Linked DNA regions of Struthio camelus. The protein of the gene in region 2 interacts with the protein of the main gene of each other region in a pairwise test. Links are inferred from orthologs where the notes say so. Each region holds a gene or a part of one and is shown on either strand. Other genes may lie near its edges.

Region 1 (7,413 bases), on a different chromosome or scaffold from region 2:
AAGAGCATGTCACAGGTAAAGAATAACCTCTATAAGTTTTGAAAATACTACCAACATTTCTGAAAAAGTATTGTACCTCTGAGCACTGTAAACTGGAGGCCTGAAATGCAAACACTTGCATTTAGGAAGCTCACATTTTGAGGATCACCATACCCAACAGACATCTCAAAGGCTAACAAAGTTATTTTCACTGGAAAGGAGCAGGCTTTTGCATTTACCACATATTATCAAAACAGTTCCACTGTAAATATTTGCACCTGTTATTAAGCTATGCACACAAGTCCTCCCAAGCAGATTTGCCGACAAACCGAACATTTGAAAAATATCTTAAAGGCTTTTGTAGAGGAAAGAACAAAGGGACATTATTCAGAGGGATACCACCAGGTGAAACGCTAATAATAAAAACAATGGCATAAGCAGTTTCAAACTGCTACATCTCTAAATGTTATTTTAAAATAATATTTGCATATCTTAATGTTTTTTTTCTTCCACGGTGCCATGTGACAAACCTGTGTAAGAAATAAGGGAATGTCCCTGACTCATCACATAAACAAATGCTAAAAGTAATTCCTGAAATATGTGTCATCACAGAAAGCATTATGAAACATATTTTGATGTGAGTCTCTGTGCTTTAATTGCATGATCTTAGCACTGTACACTGTTTGCACACAGTATTTTGAAATGTAAATAGGACCCTTGAAAACATACAGATCTTCAAAAAAAGAAAACTTATTTAGACTCGATTGCATCTTTAACATACTTGTTCTCATTTCCTGCTTCAGATTTCTCTTTCTGGTATTGGCACTACACTGGTACAGCACTGAACAGTTCTTTCCTGATTTTTGCTTTTAAAAAGTGAAAGTAAAAATTACAGAAAAATGTTAACAAACAGATTTTACAAAAAATTGTCTGAATTATTAATTTAATTGCATCCTGTTTCTCAAATAAATGCTAGAGAATTTAAAGAGTATGTTTCTCCAAGTTTGAAATAAGTACAAAATAAAGGAAGGAAATTTCTGTAAGAGTTATAAATAAATCATTTGAAACTTATAAATAGATCGCTTTATCACAGCTACTCACCAGATGTTCAATTAAATACTGTCAAGCAAATATTTTAAATCAACATTTATTTTGTTAAGGAGCAGATATGAAACAGACAATTAAATCTGACCGCAGCAATACAAATAAAAACCGTGAAACTGCCAAAGACAACAGAGTTGCTCTGCATTTACGCTGATGCAAGTGAGATAAAAATCTGGCCCTACCAGCTGAGCTGTGAATGAAAGACATTAAGACAAAAACGTTCTTCTCCTTATACACAGAATTGCTACAATCTCAATGCAGCTATATGAAAATACCTGATTCTTCTATATTTTCATATCTACCCCGAATAAAGCAACCTACATTTTAAACACACCTGTCACTGTTCTCAGAAACTATTCAGTTACCTTCATTATCTTAGCTAACAATATAATTGAAAATCTTACCTTGGAGGAACAAGGTTTGACATTACTTATCACAGTCTCTCCCCAGCTGAAGAAAAAAATGCTGAGACAAACAAATGAAGTTACCCGAAAGGGGATCATCTTTTACTTGAAGAAATGCAAACGCTTTGACGGGTTTTGAATTTCTGTGGAAAGAACTGCACACTCCGAAGCCCTGAGCTAACTATTTGGGAATGTGTACAGCACAAAGAGCAGCCAACACACCACTTCTTTAATGCCTGGGTTTAATAAAATGCATTCCACTAGATTTTATATACTGCATTGCTTTTTACCTGAGAGAAGTTACTGCTTATTATCTTTATATGACTCACACGAGCGTATAAGTATTTTTATTGTGATAAGACTGTGGCAGATCTTGTTAAATGCTATTTTTGAGCATTGGTATATATGTATGTTTGTACTGAATCTGGGCAAGTCTGGGCTACTTGAAAGGAAAAAGTGTTAATCACTGTTTTCATCTTTTTGCAAAGGTTTTTGTAACTAAAATGAAGCTGTTTACACTTGTCTGGTGGTAATGCACTAGATCCAGCTGTGGGGCAATTTCAGAATATGCCTTAAAAGCAAATTCCTTACAGAAAACTGAAAAATATTACTTTAAAATAATAGTTTGTGTTATGTTGAAGATTGTTTACACATGGGACAAAAAAAATCTTTTTTTAATCTAATGTTTTCTTTGGAAATGAATATCAAAAAGGTATGGAGCACCTGCAGCTGGTTTCCTCATGAGTGGAGCACATTCAGCTGCTGGTGAAATTACTAACAACTTTGTTTTTTTGATATCTTACAAAATCCAATTTTTAATTTGTTCTAACGTACTTCATAGCATGTTATATTTTTCCAAAATAAGAAACACGAGAATGTAACTAGTGCACCGACTGATGCTCTTGTAAAAAGATGTAGTCTATGATCCAAAAATACAGTCTCTGACAAGGAGGTAAGAAAGTGAAAAGATTTCATGGCTGCCCATATATGACATTAAGGAGGAAATAACAGTTTTTATTCTTCTTTTTATACACAGAACTAAGAAAAGGAGCCAAATGTTAAAAAGTAGCACTAAAAAAGATCAGAACTTTGACTGAACTTCTTATCTCTCCTCACCCCATGCAGTGGCCTTCAGTTAACCTGAAGCTTGGAGGAAAGTAAGATATGAAGTAAAGGGCTAAAGCAGATTAATCCCCCCTGGACCAAAAGGAAAGAAAACGTGTTTCTGCAGCAGCATAGTTATGTTCCAGCCTTAAGATTTGTAATCATGTCAAAATCTGTCCCATAAAGATTTAGGAACTGATCTTCATCCTTCACTGGAATATCAGTCTGTAGCCCATATTAAAATTTATGAAACTTCTTTGAAGTCAGTTGCCAGAGTAAGACCTTCTGTTTTGTAACGGCATGAGATCAGGCTGCTTCCTGTCCCAGAATAATCATACAGTTATAGAATATATGGTCCTCAGCTAGCCACCTTCTCATCCCACAAACTGAAAGATCTAAGATCTTTCACCAGGAGAAGACAGTTAATAAATCTAAAAGAGAGTTATGAAGAAGTAAAAAAGTTAAAAAAAAAAGACTAGAAGATATGTAAAGACTATTTTTAATCCTAAACTTCAGAAGGTGGGAGTTGATGCTGCACACCATCAAAACTTGCAGAAAGTCTAAAGAAGTCCCAGTCCTGCCAGGCTGGAGATGACTATGATCTTTCCAGGTGTGACGTGGGCTCAAACTCCACAGTAGTTTCGCAGCTCCACTACAGTCCTGTCTGGGTGGATCAGGTCTTGATCCTGAGAAAGCCTTCAACCGCATCCTAAATGAAGCAGTGCAAAGTGGGTCTTAAAAAGTTTACGTAGGTTGAAAAGAACAGGAAAAGTACCACGTGGAGGAAATAGCAGCGACTAGGCTTCTACCTGCGACACTTAATTCAATTGGTTGGAAAGGAGAATTTGGGGCTGGTGTTCTGAACTGGAGATGAAAGGCTTCCATTTCAGGGTTTTCCTCTCAACTATAAAACTGGGATGCTATAAACATTAAGCATGTTCGGTAATCTGAGCCTCGTATAAAATGGTAATAGTAACACCTACCTCACAAGCTGCATTAAAAATATTTGTTGGGGGGCTGTGAAAAAAGCGTTTTACAAGTGTAGAATACTATTTTTACCCTTCTAGTCAAAGACATAGAACAGCTGCACTCTTTGAAAAAGAGAGGAATTGGTGCAAACTCAAATAGAACAGCCAAGAAACGTCTCGCCAGGAAATCGCCAAGGCATTTAGCCTTGTGCTGACAACTCATCCCAGGCATGGCAATATCCCAGGACAACACACCCTGCTTTGCCTGAAAACAAAAATGCAGTGTTTCATTCTTTCAGAGCAAATTACTTTTTTGCTTTGCGTGAGTTTTTTAACTCATTTTCACACACATAGTTTAATTTTTTTATTGCTATTTCTGCACCCCGTTTAAAAAAAAAAAAAAACCTTATGTTGTGAATTCCAAGCCACAGCCTCAAGTAACAGATCTAAGACGCGTCCACACGGAGCTCCGCACACCCACAAACGGCAGCGGGGCCAGGAAGGGGTTTCATTTGTCCTGCAAAACTACTTAGAAATGTGTTTACTACGATATCAGTTAAAAACACAACAAAATAAAGCAAATCCTGCTCTTTGTGAACGGAATGCAGGACGGGGGACGTGGCGGGAGGCGGCGCGGCGCGGCGCCTCGCCGCTGCCGCTCTGCAGGCCGCTGTGGCGACACCGCCCCGACAGGGCGCGAGCCGCCCTGAGGCCCCGCCCCTCCGCCTAGGCCCCGCCCCCGCGCGTTGCCAAGGCAGCGGCGTCCCTGGGTCCCGAGATGGCGGCGCGGGCGGGCCGCGCTCGGCCCTGACCAGCGGGGCCCCGGCCCCGCGCCGCTGAATGGAGCCTGGCGGGAAGGGCCGAAACCTCCCTGGCGGCCGCCGGGACTTCGCGGTTCGCAGTGGGGCCTCCGCGTATCCTTCCGCGTACGCGGGCGGGCAGCGTGGGGCACGGCCGCCCCGCGGAGGGGGCAGGCCGCGCGGGGGATGGCGAGCTCTGTGGGGTGCCCCGTGGGGGGCAGGGGCGTGACAGAATCAGTTGAAAACGTTGAACCTGATGATCTCTCTCACCCTGACGCTCGTAAACCAAGGAGGCGGAGCGCCGCTGTCGGGGTGGTGGCTGGTGAAACAGAAATTCTGTCTGTCAGGTATTGCTTCGGTGATGACTTGAAGGAGAGCTCGTTGTACGTTATTATCTTTTAGACTACCACAGAAAAGTTGAGTGACAGTCCTCTTAGCATTTTTTTTTATTTTTCTTCTTGAAGATACTGCCAGTTGGAAAGCATATTTTCCATCCTAATTCCAGAATCCCTATTTTCTTACTTGGATGTGAGTAATGATTTAAGTGATACTGATAAAAGTTCTAAGCTCTGCCTGTACTTACAGTAAGGAGAGCTGTTTTATCTAGTGGTATGAATGCATTTCAGCTAATCCCTTAGAACTGGGGAGGGCTCTGTATGCAGACAGACTTTCCCTGTGATAAATGTGTCCGTATGTCACAGATTTAGATAATAATATGCTCTAGAGGTCCCTGCTTGGGCAGGGAGGTTGGGCTAGATGATCTCCAGAGGTCCCTTCCAACCTAAACGATTCTGTGATAACAGAAAGATGTATCATCAAATAAACCAAAGAAAGTGAGATTTCATCAGCTGATATCATAAATGTTGCATGCAAAGCCTCTGGTGTTTGTTAAAGTCACTGTAAATAGTAAGATGCAATTAAACTTGTTCTGGATGAACAAGAAGTAAAGTACTACCATAGTATATATTTATGGGACCAGCTGTTTTATAATTAGTTGAAAAGCATAGTGACATTTGGTATCTCATGATTAAAGGTTGCCCTTTCCCAAAGAGGTACATAATAAATCCTCAGTGACATTATACCTTTTTCTGAGATGTTTGATACAGATGTTTTCATTATCCTTAGCATGATACTAGGGATAGAGCTTTAAAGTTTCATTGTGAACGGGATTTAGAAGAAGAACGTCAGGCACTGAAAGAAGATCAAAAAACACATCGGAGGAGGGCACAAAAATTTTCCATAGAGACAAATAGAAGAAGGAAGTAAGTAAATAAGGTTCTTTTGGCAGGAGACTGTAAAGAATGGAGTCAAAGCTTTGAGACAGCTGAATATATTTCTACTGTTTGCATGTTCAGATAGTCTGTTAAATAGTGTCACTGTTTTGTTCTGAAAGAGTCTAGGCCTTAAAGTTTCACTAATCTAATTTCTTGCTATAGAACATACAAAAAGCACAATATTCAGAGTTACTGAATTACTTCTTGGAAACTTCCTGTAGGCACCCTTTTATTGTTTAGAATAAAAGTAAGCAGTGCTTTCATTTTGTGCCTCTGACCTGCATTTCTAGTATTTTCTTCAATTTTTGTATTAGCTTCAGTGAGTGTATAATAATGCAGATACACCATAAGAATAAGCGGGCAGGAAGTCTCCCGTTACCATTGTCTACTGAAGTGTATGCACTTTTAGTTGTGTGACTCTCCTATGTGGTGAGCCTTTGTACACCCACTTCCCAATAAACTCAAAATTAAGGCTTTCTAGTACCAAAATATATTTGTAATAAAGTTTTATTTTAAAGGAAGCTTTGAATGCTCTGCCTTTCTACATACATGATAAATGCAAAGCGATGAAATACTCTATGACAAATGGATCAAATAAACTACATCCTGAGACATTTTGGTGAAGTGCGGTAAACAGTGTAACGGGCAGGGAGGGATCTTCCCAGGCACTCAGAAGATACTGTCACATAGACCTAGAAACTAGGCTGTGTGTGTAGCGGAGACAGAAGGGTTCCCCTCTGAGACAGTTCAGAGCGAACCCGCAGCCTCAAAGCTGTTTCCTCTGCCTTGTGTTGACTCTGAAATGCTCGTCCACTGCAGTTCCATGTCAGATGATTTCTGTTACACAATGTTTACAGTTGAAATATATTGATAACTCAGAACAGAAGCAATAGATATTGTTTATACAGCCCTTATAGCTTGACAATGGCTTGATACAGTGTGCTGTCAGCAAATATTTTAAAATATAAAGAAAAATGGAGGAGGAAGTATAATCACCTGGGACTGATTAAAGACAGTGTGTGACCTGCAGCTTTTGCAGATAGTAATAAGCTGAGTCTTGGCTGAAAGATAAAATATCTTAGTTCTCTGAAATGGTGCTGCTGTAACACCACGCACCTGAAATGGATGCTGTTTATCATATTACTGGTCTTGAAATACTATACTCCAATGTAAAAGCAAACACTAGCCAGTCTGCATATTTTTGCTGGACTAGTATAATCAAAACTAATACTCACGGATATATAAATACATTTCCACATGAATTTCATTGTAGCCTTAGGAAACACAGTATAAATCTAAGTTACGCAGGTGAGCCAGTTAAAATTTTAGGTGTGGTAATCATAAAATGAAATTGTTTCCATTTGTGATGATTGAGAATGACATAATAGCATAACTACAAGCATAATAAGCAGTTTAGATGGAAGTGTGTCATGATGAGTCTCCCCCTAATAACTGAAAATGAGTTGTCTAAAGTTAGAAAGATAGTAAGTGTATACAGTGTTAATAACTTGTGAAACAAAATTCAAAATTAAGGTTCACTGCATATATAAAAGAAAGCAATTTGGAAATAAAAAGTTGATTGATACTGAATATTTTTTCCCAGACAATTATGTAGATAGGAGGTGATTGATCTCCTAATGGAACAGCCATCAAGTCATGCCTCAGATCTGGGCATGAGCCAAGATCCATTATGTTTTAAGACTAAACATGTAAAGTTGCTAGCTGTGATGATGACTTCTTAAGGGTAGCATTACTTCCTCATGGTCTACATTCGCACCTG
Region 2 (7,972 bases):
ATAGGAACCCTCTATTGTGACACAGCATAAGACTCCCAGTTGGTTCAAAGCTACGTGAGCACAGACAAAAATACTTTTTACGAGAAAACCTCACCATTCAAAATATTTTTAGGCTTTGTAACAAGTGAATCAAACATTCAAAACCTCTGACAGAGCTAGTCACACTTTAACCTCTAATCTACCCACTTAGTGCTTTGCGACTTTAAAGTCGCACTAAAAAGTTGGTCAAGGAGTAGATACTTACAGCTTGAAAAAAGTTGTACCCAGCTGCAGTAACAACACATGGGGCAGCCTGTGCTCGTGCACAATCAGAACCCCTTCCACTGTCCGCCTCATGCCAATCTTGTCAAATTCTTCCCTCATGCGTTGAAACCGAGCTGCCACTGAGCTGTCCTTCTCATAGAGGGGTTCCTTTGTACCGAACGTATAATTCGTAAGAGGATACCTACAAGGAAAAAGGGTTACTACGTGACAAGAAATTCAAGTTAAAACCACATGCGCTATTATGACACAGCATTCATCCAGAGGCAGAACCATCTGTACTCAAGTGAAAAGTAGCTGGTTCATAGCAGCAGACTAGAAGTTTTTGTTGGCAAGTTGATTTATGTGGATCACATCACACAGAGACTTGCACTATGATATAGAAGTACAGAAAGTTATGCTGACTGACAGGCTGTCACGGCACTGATTCAAAAGAAGGGGACAAAGCACCACAGAAGAACCAGCAGCAACTGCTATTTAACAGCCTCTCTTTGATCTCCACACTGCAAAGGAGAAGGACTTTGAGGCTCCTAGAGTAACTGGGAGGAGGGCAAAAGAAGAGAAGGAGGTTGCATAGGACAGTTTTTCTGCAGGGCAGGAGCCAAGAGCCAGAGAACTAACTGTTAAATGTGGTTTTGTTCTGAAGTGGGAAATCTGACAGCTGGATCAGAGAGGACAAGTAATGCCGAGTGCTTAAGTGCAGGGCCAACGCCTGGAGTAAAAACAAGAGTTTGAGCAGGTCACTTTACTGAGCTAGGGATTGGACCTTTGGATTCTCTAGTGATGATACAGTGGAAACCTCAAGATTTCTCCAGGGAAAAGGGACGGAGTAGATAAAAGAACTGGAAAAAGAACTTGAGCAAAAAACTGGAGTCCTGCAAAAAACAGAGGGTAAACAGGAAAAGTTACTGTACAACTAAAACCAAGTAACAGATACGACAGTAGGAGGCCTGGAAGGTGGAGGGTTGGTGGGAAGACAGCATCATCATATTAGGTAAAAAGGGTGAGGAAAAGGGGTTCAGGGCAAAAGAACAGTAGCGCATATCAACAGTTTTATTAACTTGAGGCATACAGCAACTTCCTTGACTGAGTTAATGGCTGATTTCATGTGGGACATTTACTTTGGAATGAGCCTCTGCTTGCGCTTTCCCCCTCAACATTTGGTCTTCAAAGAGTCACATCCAACCTAAGAAGCACTCCCCTCCCCCCCAAACCAAGCTTTCTCTACTCTTCACAATGCAGAAATCACAAGCCAGTTTCAGTTCTAAACTGTAAGTGAAATGAGCTCTACAATGACCCAACACAAATGATTTTCTAACTAAAGATACCTTTATTAGCAAGCATTTTCCCCCTTCCGCCTTTTCACTTACAGTTAGAATTGTCTCCATTTCTTTTTTTATTAATTTCCATTCTATAGTCTCCAAAATAGGTAGTCTCACTTTTTCCCACAGAAAAAAGATACAGATCACACTAGCAGTCATTGGTACCTCAACATTTTTAGCCTGTTAAAAAAAGTTGCGGCTGATAACTTTTGCTGATTTTTTTTCCCTCTCAGAAAAGGGCATTAAAAAAACTCCAGTTTCTAAAGTTGATATCTGAACTTCCACAACACCATTAGCTCTAACTGGGAATAAGCTCAGCTATACTAAACAATACATACATCTTCTCTGATGGATAGCTAAATCGAGTATTGACTACTGTAGTCAACATTTGTTGCTGGCTTTGCAACTTGATAAACATACTTATCAAGAGAAATATCAGAGCTTACTGTAAAAAGCTAGCTGAAGTACATGACTTCTCACATAAAGTAAGCAAATACTTTTAGCAGATAGCTTGTAACTACAATAGAAACCCCGTGTTTCTTGTGGAAGCAAACACCTTAGATATAAGTTAAAATACCTGTGCTACACGGTCAGCAAACACCTGGCACACCTAAACACAGACTATTGGCTACAATGGGTAAGCCCGAAGGCTCCCTAGGCCAGCAGCCTATTTTTCCTCCCTGCAGCCAAAGGTAGATAGATGCCTATGGAAGGCTACGTGAAGAGAGAAGCATACGTGCCACCCACAGTACTCCCCAACTTTGTTAGTCACAGCTTGTACGCTTCCCGAGTCAGATTTTCGTTTTTATATGTAGTTCGTCACCCTCAGAGCAACTTCATAAAGGCGCTTCACGTTCCCCTGACCACAGGTAAGCCTTCAGTATCCCCAGCATCCCTGGGCACGGAGCTCCGCAGCGTCACGGCACGCTGCGCAAAAAGCGGCCGCTTTCTGCGTGTTTTAAGCCTGGCAGGGGGCAGCTTTTCCGAGGGCCAACACGGCGCAGACGCCGGCGCTCCCCGGGGCCCTGCGGCCGAGCCAGGCAGCGGCTGCCCGGCGGAGGCTCCCGCTCCCCCGCACCCTCCCAAGGGCGGCCCCGCGGCTGCTGGCGCAGCGGGGAAGGGGCTCGCGAGCCGCGGGGAGGGCCCAGGGCGGCCCCGGAGGCCCGGCGGCGGCGCTCACAGGTTGATGGTCCTCTCCAGCGTGAGCGGCTTCGTCTGCTGGATGTACTTGTTCCCGAACTGGTTCACTCCGCGGGGCCAGCCGGTCTGCGAGCGGTTAGGCGGCACCACGGACATGGCGGCGCCGGGCCGGGCCGGAGCGAGGGCGGCGGCGAGGGCGCGGGTCACTGCTCGGCGGCGGGAACCCCGTCCGCCATTAACCTCCCCGCCGGGCCTCACACACCCTCCGCGCGCCGCCTCGCCGGAACCGCCCAGCCCCACTTCCGCCCGAGCCGACCATAGAGCGGAGCCGCTCTGCGCCCCTCCAGCGACTCACCAGCCACAGCGAGCGGCACCGCCCACTGCTTCCTCACTGGCTTTTGGGGGCCGCGCACCGCCCTTCCCCCTCTTTCTCATTGGCCAGCGGAACGTCGCGCCGGCGCCCGCCCCCCCCGCGCGCCGCGCGCCCCGATTGGCCCGGAGGGCGGCGCGGGGGCGCCTGGGAGTTGTAGTCTGGCGGGGGCGGTGTCAGGCGGCAGCGGGCATGAGCGCCAAGCGGCGCGTGGCGGCGGCGGGGCCGGCGAAGAAGCGGGAGAAGCGGGGGGCGCGCGCCGAGCTGAGCGCCGCCCTCGGCGACGCGGCGCTGCGGGAGCGGGCGGCGGCGGCCTGGCGCCGCGGGGAGCCGCTCCGCCACGGTACGGCGCGCCCGCCACCGCCGTCCCGTCCCGTCCACCCGCGGCGGCGGCGGCGGCCCCGCTCACGGGCGGCTCTTTGTTGGCAGAGGCGGCGGCGCTGGAGCCGGCCCCGTTCCGGCACGGCCTGATCCCCGGCTTCCTGGCGGGCCCGGCCTTCGCGGCGGCGCTGCGCGACGAGCTGCTGGGCCTCGGCTTCCGCGGGCGGCGCAACGACCTGCTGTCGCTGCGGCAGGTGGGCCCGCTCCGCGCCGCGCCGCGCCGCGCCGCCGCTCCGCCGCCGCTAACCGCCCCCCCCCCGCCCCTTCTTCTCTTCCATGGGCCGCGGCAGTCCGAGGAGCTGCGCGGGAGGCCGGAGCCCCACGTCGCCGCGCTGAGGTGCGGCCCCCCCCCCCCGGCGTGGTGGAAGGGGCAGGGTGCCCTGCCGGGAAGCGGCCCGGAGGGGCAGCATCTGCTTTGCACAGGACAGGGCCCTAAACGCAGCTGAGCGTTTTCTTCTCAGCCCAGTGCTCCGATTCCAGCGTTAACCCTCATCTCTTGGTTATTTATCACCCCGAAACGTTTATCCGTGTCCCTTACAACTCATTCTGCATGTATTGCTTCGTCACTGTGAGTGATGCTGTGAAAGCTAGACTTTTCCTGGCCAACTCCCGTAGGGTTTTTCAGATATATGGTACCTCTGGCAGGAGTAGTAGCTTCAACTGTTTAAATAGTTGGAGGAGAGCTAATAATAAAAGTAGTTTTAGGCTGTATGTCACTGGTAACGTGCTTTGTAACTCAGGAGGATGCTTACCTTGTGCTCATCTTCCCAGGCACGCTCTGTGTGAAGAATTCCGAGCGTGGCTTTCTGCTGTGACCCAGATCGAACTGGAGCCAACGATCGACCTATCCTGCGCTAAATACGAATATACCGGTCAGTCAGTAAGCAGTCCTTTCCCCAAAGCTTCCCTGGGTGTGCATAAAACTATATTTGAGGAGAAGACATAATTACAAAGCCCACCACCACCCTTTCCCAGTCCTAGGAGGTCCTAGCAGCTATCACCCAGCAGATCAGAGTCTCCAACAAGAAACAAACCAAGTCTAAATTATGGAAAAATGATTGTTGTAATCATGCTGCTGAGAGCTTTAGCTGGGCCCAGTTTTGTAGCAAGCCTCCAACCTTTCTGGAGACGTTCAGCCAAAGTTTGCTGTCGAACTTCCTGGACACAAAGGGATGATGTGTTCAGGTTGTAAATGCCACAGTTTAGTTTGTGAAGTGCTAAAATGTCATCATAGAGAGTCCAGAAACTGGTTACAACTGTAATAGCCTTTTAGTCATGTAAAATTAACTTTTGTTAATTCTGCTTTTTTAAAGTCTCTTTGCCTAACCAGTTGCTGGTCCAGCTTTTCTGTTCCTGCCCTACCCCCAGCCCAGCAACAAACCTCCTCAAAGGGCAGCTGTGCATTCAAGAATAAGAGTTTGACTAACTGATAAACTTAAGGATCTCTTCCTGCTGTGCCCAGTGACAGCAGCAGAGGAGTGGGTAAGGAGGGGCTTAACCGCCTCTACCTTCAGAGCGGGCTTATCCATCAGTCGTAATGAAATCTCACAAACGTTATTCTCTCTGGATTAGTGATGCAGACAAGCAAAGATGCAGTTCTTGGGAAGGGCATATTTCTTCCTGTTATGTCCTTGCAAGGGCAAAGCTAGGAAGCAGCCACTGAAATAAATCAGTGCACACGCTAGAAAGGCACTACTGTAGGAAAATGTGTGTAATTGCAGATGTCCTGCTGTGCCATGATGATGAGCTGGAAGGTCGGAGAATTGCCTTCATCCTGTACCTCGTGCCACCGTGGGAGAAGAGCGATGGAGGGACGCTGGACTTTTATAGTACAGATGGTGAGAGCTTGCTCCTCAGCCTCTGATAGCTGAAAAAGATGAAGCTTAGGTGCCTTTGCAGCAACTCTCCTCTCAGATGGTACAAGGAAGATTTTGCTCAGTCCAAGGGAGCTTATGTATTGGTAAAATTTGCACTTTAGATACAAGGAAGATTTTGCTCAGTCCAAGGGAGCTTATGTATTGGTAAAATTTGCACTTTAGAAAGAGATGGGCTGTAGCAGTCTTTCCAGACTATGGTAATGGGTGACAGCTGAGGAAAAGGAGAAGCTAATAAAGAGGGGAATCCTTTCTTTTATCCACTTTTTTTTGCAGGGCACAGAGATGGAGGCAGGATAGAGGCAACACCAGTAACTGTGCTAGGAAATTTTTTAAGCGATGGAGATAACTTCCAGCGACAGAAGTCCACCGGTTCCTCATCAATCTCTTGCTCTAAGTTCCCTCCTTTACAGCCAGGTGTCTGATCAGTCACAGTGTCATAAAGTCCGAGGGAAATGACGCTTGCTAGTGAGTTCCAAGTCATCTTAACCAAACCCTGTTCTCTTCCTCTTCAGAACACTTCCAGCCGCAGCAAATCGTCAAGTCATTAGTGCCTTCATGGAACACACTGGCTTTCTTTGAAGTGTCTCCAGTCTCCTTCCACCAGGCAAGGATCTGTATTCTGTTCCTTTTTAAATCCTCTCTGTTGCAGTGATTCATTTTGTACATTGTAACAGGCCTGATGGGGAGGGTAGAAGAGAAAGGGAGAAACGCAGGCAGTCAGAATGCTCGTATTAAATGCTCTATGTTAAAGGCTGATGACTTAAAGGAGAACTAGAACTGACAAAGCCAACCTTAAACTACAAAATTCTGGCAGTATAGCTTCATCATCTTAGGGGAAGAAATTCCCATCCCTACCTTCTGTCACTATGCTGGCAAACTACTGCTGTGGATTTGGCTGTGGTGACAGAAGAGGGCTTTTGTTGGACTAGCTCATGTTTTTCATGCGGATGTCATGACTTTACTAGTAGACAGAAATGCTCCCTAGTATGCTGCATTGCCAGTAGGGGACTATGTGGATATGGCCGTATCAGTTCTGTAACGCAGATGCAGTTACCCTACAGGTAGGTTACCCTACCCTACCTACCAAATACCCTACAGTAGATGCGCTGATATGGTTAAGTAGCATTTTGTGGCACGCAACAGGAAGATGGCTGGAAAAAGCATGAGTGTAATCTCCAGAACCGCTTCATGTGAACACCTGGCTGAAAGCTGAAACTCCTGCTTGCTTGAGAATGCCATGAACTGTAACAAACAGTGTCAAAGAGCAGGAGGTTGGAGAAGAGCACTGAGTGTAGTGATGTAGGTCAGGCATGTTTGCAGCTAGACTGCTTAGGTTTTACTTTTCTGTTATTTATGTCTTGTAATTAATTAACAGAAACAACTATTTGGTCACTGCCCTAGTTGTTTTCAGTTAGTGATTTACTCTTGTCATGTAAATCCACGTTCCACTTGGCCTTGTGACTGTCTCCTACTAACCTAAACTTAATCCCATGCATTAGCACCATTCAGAGTCTTGCGTACTGTCTCTGATACTGTTAACACAGAGATTAAAAACCTCAGCTGTCTTAACTGGGAGTGCTGTGAATCTAAAGCTTCAGGACCTGCACCTCACTGGTTATTCCCAGAGCAGCTGTTGAACCACCAAATCATTTCTTTGATCCTTTCATCAGTAAATCATAGAGCTTCCGAATTGCCATTAGAGAGCTGTGTGAGGGTCAGACTGATACAAAGCCTTCACAGCACGTGCCAGCTTTAAATCCCTCTCAGCCATTTGGCAAAGAGTGTTTAGCTATTAATTCCTAGTAGATCTTCAGATTTTGGCCTTCATGCTGTATACTTCTTCAGCAGGTATCAAATAAAGCTTTGGGTATTATTTGGTGAGCAGAGCAGGTCGCTGGGCTTCCAGTAGCAAGCTTGATTTAAGAGCATTTTTCTGTTTTCCATTTCCCAAGAGATATAAGGTTTACTGTAGGCATTCCAAATTAGCTAGAAAAGCTTTAATTCATGCAAGGAGAGGGCCGCTACCGCTCTATAACTATCAATAAAAGCCAAAACCTTTTCCAGGACAGGCTGTGTTTCTTCCTTCTCTTCCAGCAGGCTGTCCTGAAAAACCAGTGCAAGGTCTTTATGTGCTGCTAGCAACCAGTCATAAGGGGGTGGCTCTCTCTTCATTACTCAGTACAGCACGCTGGAGCGTGAAATTGTTCGATTTAGCCCAACTTATAGCAGAGCACAGTTTGACGAAATCCAGATCTAGCAGTAGTAATCACTGTGTGAAAATCAGGGCTTTCCACAGACCAGGTAAAATGCCAGCATAAAGGGCTAGCTCTTAGTCTGTTAGATACGTAGACCTTTAACCCAGAGCCAAAGGTAGCAGACAAATGCTCTTCCTGCTGGCTTGAATTGCAGCATTTTTTTAAAAAGTAAAAGACACAATAAGGGCAGTACAGCCTGCTGCAGCCTATAGGCAGTAAGTGTGCCCCAGAGCTCCTCATGTGGTTTCTGAGTTCCAGGTTAACCTGCGACAGCTAGTTTTTGCCGACTGTGGTAGCTAGTTCAACAGAACAAACGGAAAAACCTAAAATGCTTTTACTTCTAATAAAATATTTCAGCCTTCGCTC

The links.
Region 1: the proteins of NUDT21 (region 2) and CEP126 interact in a two-hybrid assay, tested with the Homo sapiens proteins (2 studies listed by BioGRID and IntAct). The link is inferred for Struthio camelus from reciprocal best matches to the Homo sapiens genes NUDT21 and CEP126.

Annotation. Positions count from the first base shown.
Region 1 is NC_090942.1:208,919,138-208,926,550, reverse strand, and holds the start of CEP126 (centrosomal protein of 126 kDa), read left to right. Parts: upstream 1-4,312; 5' UTR 4,313-4,399; coding exon 4,400-4,473; intron 4,474-5,495; coding exon 5,496-5,621; intron 5,622-7,413. Other genes in the region: ANGPTL5 (angiopoietin-related protein 5), read right to left, coding at 1,488-1,586. UniProt on the Homo sapiens protein: Participates in cytokinesis. Necessary for microtubules and mitotic spindle organization. Involved in primary cilium formation.
Region 2 is NC_090951.1:22,003,958-22,011,929, forward strand, and holds the start of NUDT21 (cleavage and polyadenylation specificity factor subunit 5), read right to left. Parts: upstream 3,096-7,972; 5' UTR 2,880-3,095; coding exon 2,764-2,879; intron 446-2,763; coding exon 245-445; intron 1-244. Other genes in the region: prolyl 3-hydroxylase OGFOD1, read left to right, coding at 3,286-3,436, 3,523-3,668, 3,765-3,811, 4,246-4,346, 5,196-5,312, 5,864-5,955. UniProt on the Homo sapiens protein: Component of the cleavage factor Im (CFIm) complex that functions as an activator of the pre-mRNA 3'-end cleavage and polyadenylation processing required for the maturation of pre-mRNA into functional mRNAs.